Sus scrofa: one gene and its partner. The main gene of each other region encodes a partner of the protein of the gene in region 2 in a complex. Links are inferred from orthologs where the notes say so. Each region holds a gene or a part of one and is shown on either strand. Other genes may lie near its edges.

Region 1 (4,537 bases), on a different chromosome or scaffold from region 2:
TTCCTTTTCTATCTCTGGCTATCTTTCTCTGGCTCATCTTTTCATCTCCGTTGCTCTGGTTTTTGCCAAAGTATCTGTCCTTATTTGTTTTCTTTAGTTCTTCAGTTTCTTCCTTGCTAATTTATGTTTTCAACTATCATCAGTAGAGCAGATGATTTCATATGTTTATTCCCACTCAGATCTCTCTTAAGCTCAAACCCCATATTTCTAATTGCTTAGTAGACATGTCTACCTAATTGTCCCAATGGTTTCTCAAATTCAATAAAGACTGAAATTGAGATTATGAATATCTCCTACCCCAAAGTTCCTTGTTCCGCACTTTCTTTCAATAAATGACATACTCTCCGTTAATCAGGCCTGAGGCCTACATTTTTGCCTGAGTCCTCCCCAATTCCTATATTTCAACATTTCTCACATTTGTTGCTATTTTCCATTTCCACTGCTACTACTCAGATTCAGGTCTTTATCAGCTTTTTGCACTGTAGCAATAATCTAGTGATTGTCTTGGACTTCAATACTGTTGCCATATTAATGTTCCTGTTAACACATCTCCCTATCTCCCTTCCTCCCTCCCTTCCTTCTTCTTCCTCCCTCCCTGCTTCCTTTCTTCCTCAAAAATTAAGACTTCCCATTCCCTTTAAAATAAAGCCTAACTTCTTGGCCTAGCATTTAAAAAGATTCAGTAGGAGATCCCATTCTGGCTCAGTGGAAACTAATCTGACTAGTAACCATGAGGTTGTAGGATTGATCCCTGGCCTCGCTCAGCAGGTTAAGGATCCGGTGTTGCTGTGAGCTGTGGTGTAGGTTGCAGACTCAGTTTGGATCCTGTGTGGCTATGGCTGTGGCATAATGTGGCAGCTGTAACTTCGATTCGACCCCAAGCCTGGGATCCTCCATATGCCTCAGGTGTGCACCCCCCCAAAAAAAAGACTCAATAACTGGCACAAAAACTAATTCTTCATCTCCAGATCTCCCATAGACCAGAATCATTAGCTGGACTTGCTACTTCTCAATTTTTTTTCTGTCTGGAGAGCTTTTTTACCCATTTTCATATTTCCATATCCTATCAAGACCCATGAGGGTACTGATGAGGACCCTACTCACCCAATAATACTAATAATCTTGCTGAATTCCCGTCGTGGCGCAGTGGAAACGAATTTGAACTGGAACCATGAGGTTGCGGGTTCAATCCCTGACCTCGCTCAGTGGGTTAAGGATCATGCGTTGCTGTGAGCTGTGGTATAGGTCGCAGACGCAGCTTGGATCTGGCGTTGCTGTGGCTGTGGTGGAGGCCTGCAGCTACAGCTCCGACTGGACCCCTAGTCTGGGAACCTCCATAAGCTGCTGGTGCGGACCTAAAAGGACAAAAGACAAAAATAAATAAATAAATAAATAAATAAATAATAATAATAATAATCTTGCCCTCCCCTGGGAAATCTTGGAGTGCATTCTCAAGGTACTGGAACTTTCTACCTTGAACCACAGTCTTTTTTTTTCTGTTTTCTTTTTTTTGCACATTTGTTATATTCTCTATAAATCTCTGACTACTTTAAGGGGAAAGGCTATCTTTTTACCATCACGTTTGTATTTTGTAAAGTACCAAAAAATAATGGCCAAAGAATTATTAGAGATCAAAGGATAATAGTTTTTTTCCTTCTACACAATTCTAATCATTTCCAAAGTCCCTCTGCAATAAGCAACAAAAAAGAAACTCAAAGCTATTACCACCCTCCAGACTCCTCCCACCCCCAATCCCACCTCAAGCCCTCAAATATCAAAAAAGCAAAAACAATACAAAGCAGAAAACACCTTTTTCATGACATGGGATTTGTACAATGTTCCTATCTGCATTACTCTCTACCCAATCCTCCATGTGATTTAAATTCATTAACCCCACTAGACTGTAAACTCCATGCAAGAAGGGAATTCTTTTATTCAGAACTGTTACATACCTAGTGCTTGGAATTTAACATATTCTCAAAAATATTTGTTGAGTGAATGCACTAGGGTTTTTTTAAATGTCACTTTCTAGGGCTTCTGTGATTTCTCCAACCTAAATTGGGTATTCATATATAAATATATGCTTTCCTCTAGATCCCATTATCTATCTTACAAGCTAACATTAAAAGAAGTCCAAAGTTGGAGTTTCACGTGCACGAGATGAAGGAAGCTGAACCTATTCAGGCAGAGTGCAATATTGGGGTTGCCACCTCAATAACGGCTCTAGAAAGCTTTGCCCTTTGCAAACTCATGCAACTCATCCTAATAAATACCCTTTTAAAGATACTGCCCTTTTTATTCCTCCTGGATCTTGGCCCTGGATTACACTGATGACCTTAGGCACACATCCGGAAACGACAACAGGCGGAAAGAACCTAATTCCAAACCAACCAACCGACAGAAAATCTGAAAAACGACACTCAGAAAAGGAATATCAATCTTCTGATCAAAGGCAAGACCCACCGAAGGCCTAACATCGGGAAGGGTCTTGACAAGTGAGCCCAATGAAGATGAGAGGAGGCAGAGGGAGCTGCACAGAGAAGTCGCCAAAACCTTCCGAGGAAGGTCCGAGACAGGGTTCCAAGGTCCCAATCCCTGGGGCTGTAACCTCGGTCCGCTGACCCCAGCCTGCAAAACCTTCGGGGGAAGCACGACCCCAACTGTAAGGGGAGAATGGTCAGACTGGGCATTCGACCGCCTGCAAATTATGAGTTTCCTCACAAGAGGCGAGGAAACTAAGACCGCACAGTACTACCGTCCCACTTCACCCCTCGCGGAGGTCTCAAGCCTCCCAGAGGCGGCTGGGAACCGAGGGGCTCGTCGCAACTCACCGCTCCGCCCCGCTGCTCCGTCCGTTCCCGGTGGCCTGACGAACAGGTCCCAGCACTAGCCCGCCGGGAGAGCGGAAAAACAAAAGTTCCCGCAGCAGGGTCGACTGGGGAACGTTTTCACTGTGCGACGGGAGGAAGTGACGTAACCACCTTCTTCCGGTGCGCCGGATTATGAATGACGGCAGGTGCTGCTGTTTCCCCGGCGCTGCTTCTGTTGTTTTTTTCCCTGCCGCGTGGAGCTGCGAGCGGTCTGCAGGCGAAGACTTCCTAAAGCGACCTCGGGAAACCCGGCTCGGGCGGGGCGGGAATGCGCTGGCGGCCAGTGTTGACACGTTCACGCACCCTCCCTGCCTGGCCGCGCCTCTGCGACCAGGTAAGGAGGGCGCTCGCGCCGCCGGCTCCTCAGTCCTCAAGACCCTGCAAAGACTCCTCTTTCATCCAGGGACCGGCAGGGTTGACGATGCGAAGAAGGGCGGGAAGAGTGGAGGGGTCCGGGCCCCTTCGCAATTTTTCCAGGGCCAGTCCCCATGGCTTCATTTACTGAAGGGGAAAGGAGCAGCTTCCAGTTGCAGCAGTCTGTTCGGTCGTTCGCCATTTGCTGCTAAGTGTAGTTAAGACCTCTTGGGTCACTCTTTTAACTTTTATCTTTTTTTCTACTGAGTTTTCTATTCCAGCCCTTCCTCATTGGAGAAAGCAGTAGTATGTGAATACTACCTAACAGTTGCTCCAAAGAACCCCCTACATTTTGGGCGATTTGTTTCTGCACTACCATCAAAGTAGCGTTTCACTTTGGTTTAAACTCCTATAGAAAGTTTGGGTTTAACTTGCATGAAAATTGCTTTTACTTCAGAAACGTTTACTAATACACGTACTTCCCACACCAATTCTACTTGGTTTGGGATTAGGTGACTGTTTGTTTGTTTCGGCTTTTTAGGGACACACCCTTGGCATATGGTAATTCCCAGACTAGGGGTCCAATGGAAGCTACAGCTGCCGACCTACACCACAGCCCTAGCAATGGGATCCTTAACCCACTGAGGCCAGGGATCAGACTAGTGTCCTCATGCACACTAGTCGGATTCGTTACTGCTGAGCCACATCGGGAACTCCTTTTCCCCTTATTCCCCCCCTTTTTTTTTTTTTTTTTTTTTTTTTTTTGCTTTTTAGGGCCACAGTCTAGGCATATGGAAGTTCCTAGGCTAGGGGTGGAATCTGAGCTATAGCCACCAGCCTAATCCACAACAACTCAGGATCCGAGCAAAGTCTGTGACCTACACCACCACTCAGGGCAAGGTGGGATCTGCGACCCACTGATTGAATCCATATCCTATGGATACTAGTCAGATTCATTTACACTGCGCGGCAATGGGAACTCCGCCGATACTCTTAAGGTCATGATCTCTTAATGCCGGGAGCCCATTCCTTGTCATAAGTTCTTGCCAACATTTAATAATAGATCTTGTGCTAAATTATTTAAGAAAGGTAGAGTATGTTTACATTTTTCTAAGCTTATCTAGGAACAGTGTTTAAAGGAGAAAAATGCAAAAGCTGGCAAGACTAGTGGTGTGACAATATAAACATTAACCATGGCCATTTAAATATTATGAAAATAAATTCTTTGCTATAAATTCAATTGATTGATTTGCTGTTGTATTTAATAAATCCAACATTAAGCTCTGGGACTTTTTTTAACTACCTGGTGGAGA
Region 2 (3,813 bases):
TGTATCTATCTATCTATATGTTGCGGAAATTTTTTTTTCTTTTGTCTTTTGTCTTTTTTTGAGGGCCGCACCCGGCAGCATATGGAGGTTCCCAGGCTAGGGGTCTAATCAGAGCTGTAGCTGCCGGACTACACCACAGTCCACAGCAATGCTGGATTCTTAATCCACTGAGCGAGGCCAGGGATCAAATGCTCAACCTCATGGTTCCTAGTTGGATTCGTTTCCGCTGTGCCGCGACAGGAACTCTCAGAATTTTTTTAAAGTAGCCAAAAACTGGAAATAACTCTGTGGGGGAGGAAAAAAATAATCTCCCCTTTAACCTGCTAGGTTCTTGGCTAAGACTCCACCGTAATGAAAGACAGATTAACAGGAGAAAAACAAACATAAGTTTAATGACAAATATGTCTCCTGTATACAATGGCAGAGGCCCAGGGAAACTGAAAAACTCCCTGAAATTGCCCAAGCCATCACCTTAAATACCAGCTGCAGCTAAAGACAAAAGGAAGATGTTGAAGAGGGAGGGAACCTGTTATGAGGGGTTATAAGGTAAAACGCAGTGGACAAGGGTAAGGTTGTTATGCAAATTTAAGTTGGTACCCTCTCCATTGATATGAGTTCCTAGAGATTTAATCACGTTTCCCTTCCAGGTTCTAAGAGGAAGAAACCTTACAAATGTAGATTTCCCTTACAAATATCAATTTCCCTCACTAAAGGGCAACTTCTATGCTGTTCTCAGGGGTTCTACTATGTCAACCCCTCTCAGAAATAACCATTCCCAAATAATCCTTAGGTCAAGGACAGTTGTTTTGGAAGTGGTGTATTCTGTTCCCCGTCATTCCTGCCTTTGAAACTTCACAATCCAGAAGAGGCTAAGAAGCTTCAAAATCCAGAAGCTGAGTCAGTAGACTGGTCCATTATTTCACTGAACCAGTCTCTCAGTCTTGAAAACAGGTCAGGTTATTTCAACAACTGTGTCTCATTTCAGGAGGGAGGCAGTGTGGCAGGTGGGATCCCAAAAATTAGATCTATATTGTGCAAGTAATCAGGTATATAAGAAGAAGCCATAATTTCTTTTTTTTTTTTTTTGCTTTTTAGGGCCATGGAGGTTCCCAGGCTAGGGGTCCAATCAGAGCTATAGCTGCCAGCCTACACCACAGCCGCAACAACACCAGATCTGAGCCGCTTCTGTGATATACACCACAGCTCACAGCAAGGCCAGGGATCAACCCTGCATCCTCTTGGATCCTAGTCGGGTTCGTTAACCACTGAGCCACAACAGAAACTCCCAGAAGCCATAATATTCTTAACTCATCCTGTGCCGGTCTGAACTGATGACTGAACTGTTTTACAACTTCCAGTCCATCTGTCCGTCTCTCACTGAAAGTAAGCATCTGAGGACAGGGATTCTGACATACTTGTGTAGAACTTAGTATGTGCAACAGAGTAAGCATTCCCACATGGATGAAAGGATGGATGGACAGATGGATGGGCAAATGGGTAGGACTCTTTATGGGACTTAATTAACTATTAAACTGATTGAAGACTATTAATTTGATTATTTATTGCGCCTCTCATGTGTCTCTAGTATTTGTATCTAACTTGGGAATGCTCCAAAGTGACAGCTTTTTCCTACCCATAAATTTTATTCACCAAGCTGACTCACCCATAGTCTGAAAGAGACTCATGTATTAGTTTGGTTGTAGCCCTGAAAATACCAAGTCTTAGCTCACATTATAAGAATAGAAGATGCCCTGTCATTTAGTGAGCCCTTATTGGGTACCAGGGACTTTATATACATAATCTCATTTCAATGTCAACTATCCCTATTTGTCAGGAACAGACTCTGAGGTTCTGAATTTAACCTGTTCCAATCCATACTCAGCAGCAGAGCTGCGATTCACGCCCAGGCTCTTTTCCTTAAAAACCCATCTCTTCTCTCTCCCCACTTTCCGTCTCTCAGGTAGAGATTACGTGGGTGCTCAAGTTAAAAGTGTCAACACAGAGTCAGTTAAGAAGCCCCATGGGGACCAAAACCTGACAGACCTGGACCTTCACAGTGCTCTGAGGATCTTGCACGTGCTCCAGGGTTGCGTCGACATCCAGGGCCACCACCAACCCAGATGTGAATCGCAAAGGGTTGTCTGACTCACCCGCTGGCTCGATAATGGTGGCTGAGGCTTTGTGGATCTGCAAGCAAGAAGAAAATAGGATTCTAAAGCCACGCCATTCCTCGGCAACAAAACAAGACCCTGCCTTTCTGACTCCTTAGCTAATGGGTGGATATTCGGGAGCCAATCCAAGGAAAGGCCCTAATCCAGCCGCTCCATGGGTCAAAGAGGATCACCAAAGTGAGCAGTTTTGACTCTTCGGACGGACGGACTTAGCTGAAGCGGGAGGACACAGACACCGACCTGCTCTGGAAGGGGGAGGTGCAGGAAGGTACACTGCCGAAGCATGGTATGCAGAATTTTGACCACTTCTGCAGGTTTGGACGTCATGAGTCGGGGCATGAGGTCAAGAAGTTTGTCCACAAAGCTGTCCTGCAAGTGGGGCAGATCAGCGATGAAACACCTGAAGGAGCAAAGAGAAGCAACTATGACAGTCATTCACCACAGGCTGAGCCCCAAACATCTGCCAAGCCCTGAAGGGGTGAAAAGGATGAACTAGAGAAGTTCACGGCTCCTGAGGAAGCCATGGACCTAGATAATTATGCTGTAGTGACATGACCATAACCTTGTTGATTAATTATCTATTAATGTTTATTATTTTTTAATTTTTAAGAGCCACACCTGTGGCATATGCAAGTTCCCAGGCTAGGGGTAGAATCGAAGCTGCAGCTGCCAGCCTACGCCACAGCCGCAGCAACACCAGATCTGAGCTGCGTCTGCGACCCACACCACAGTTCACAGGAATGCTGGATCCTTAACCCACTGATCAGGGCCAGGGATCGATCCCACAACCTCATGGATACTGGTCAGGTTCATTACTGCTGAGCCACAATGGGAACTCCCTAATTTATTTATTTTTATTAAAGTATAGTTGATTTACAATGTTGTGCAAATTTCTGCTATACAACAAAGTGACCCAGTCATACATATATATATGTACACACATTCCCTTTCTTTTTTTTTTTTTTTTTTTTGCCATTTCTTGGGCCACTCCCGTGGCATATGGGAGGTTCCCCGGCTAGGGGTCTAATCAGAGCTGTAGCTGCCAGCCTACGCCAGAGCCATAGCAACGCGGGATCCGAGCCGCGTTTGCAACCTACACCACAGCTCACGGCAACGCCGGATCGTTAACCCACTGAGCAAGGGCAGGGACCGAACCCGCAACCTCATGGTTCCTAGTCGGATCTGTTAACCACTGCGCCACGACGGGAACTCCACATTCCCTTTCTTATATCATCTTCCATCATGGTCTATCCCAAGATAGTCTTGTTTATTAAATATCTATATGGGCTAGGCATCTTCTTAAGTGTTCTTCACTATCTTATTTAATCCCCCCAGCAATCCTGTGTATTAGCAGAATTATTATTATCATGTTACAGATTCATTAATTTAACAAATGTATCTTTAGGACTTACAAAGCACTGGGGACATAACAGTGAGCAAAAGAGAAGAACACAGCTGTCTTGGAGTTCACGTTGTGGTGCAGTGGAAATGAATCTGACTAGTATCCATGAAGACTCAGGCTGGATCCCTGGCCTCGCTCAGTGGGTTAAGATCCAGCATTCCATGAAGTGCGGTGTAGGTCAGAGACGTAGCTCCAATCTGGTGTTGCTGTGGCTGTGGCATAGGCAAGCAGCTATAACTG

What was found.
Region 1: INTS4 (region 2) and INTS12 share a complex: the UniProt entries of both Homo sapiens proteins name them as parts of the integrator complex. The link is inferred for Sus scrofa from reciprocal best matches to the Homo sapiens genes INTS4 and INTS12.

Annotation. Positions count from the first base shown.
Region 1 is NC_010450.4:116,030,297-116,034,833, reverse strand, and holds the start of INTS12 (integrator complex subunit 12), read right to left. Parts: upstream 2,971-4,537; 5' UTR 2,832-2,970; intron 1-2,831. Other genes in the region: GSTCD (glutathione S-transferase C-terminal domain-containing protein), read left to right, coding at 3,003-3,204. UniProt on the Homo sapiens protein: Component of the integrator complex, a multiprotein complex that terminates RNA polymerase II (Pol II) transcription in the promoter-proximal region of genes.
Region 2 is NC_010451.4:12,320,491-12,324,303, forward strand, and holds part of INTS4 (integrator complex subunit 4), read right to left. Parts: intron 2,572-3,813; coding exon 2,412-2,571; intron 2,188-2,411; coding exon 2,044-2,187; intron 1-2,043. UniProt on the Homo sapiens protein: Component of the integrator complex, a multiprotein complex that terminates RNA polymerase II (Pol II) transcription in the promoter-proximal region of genes.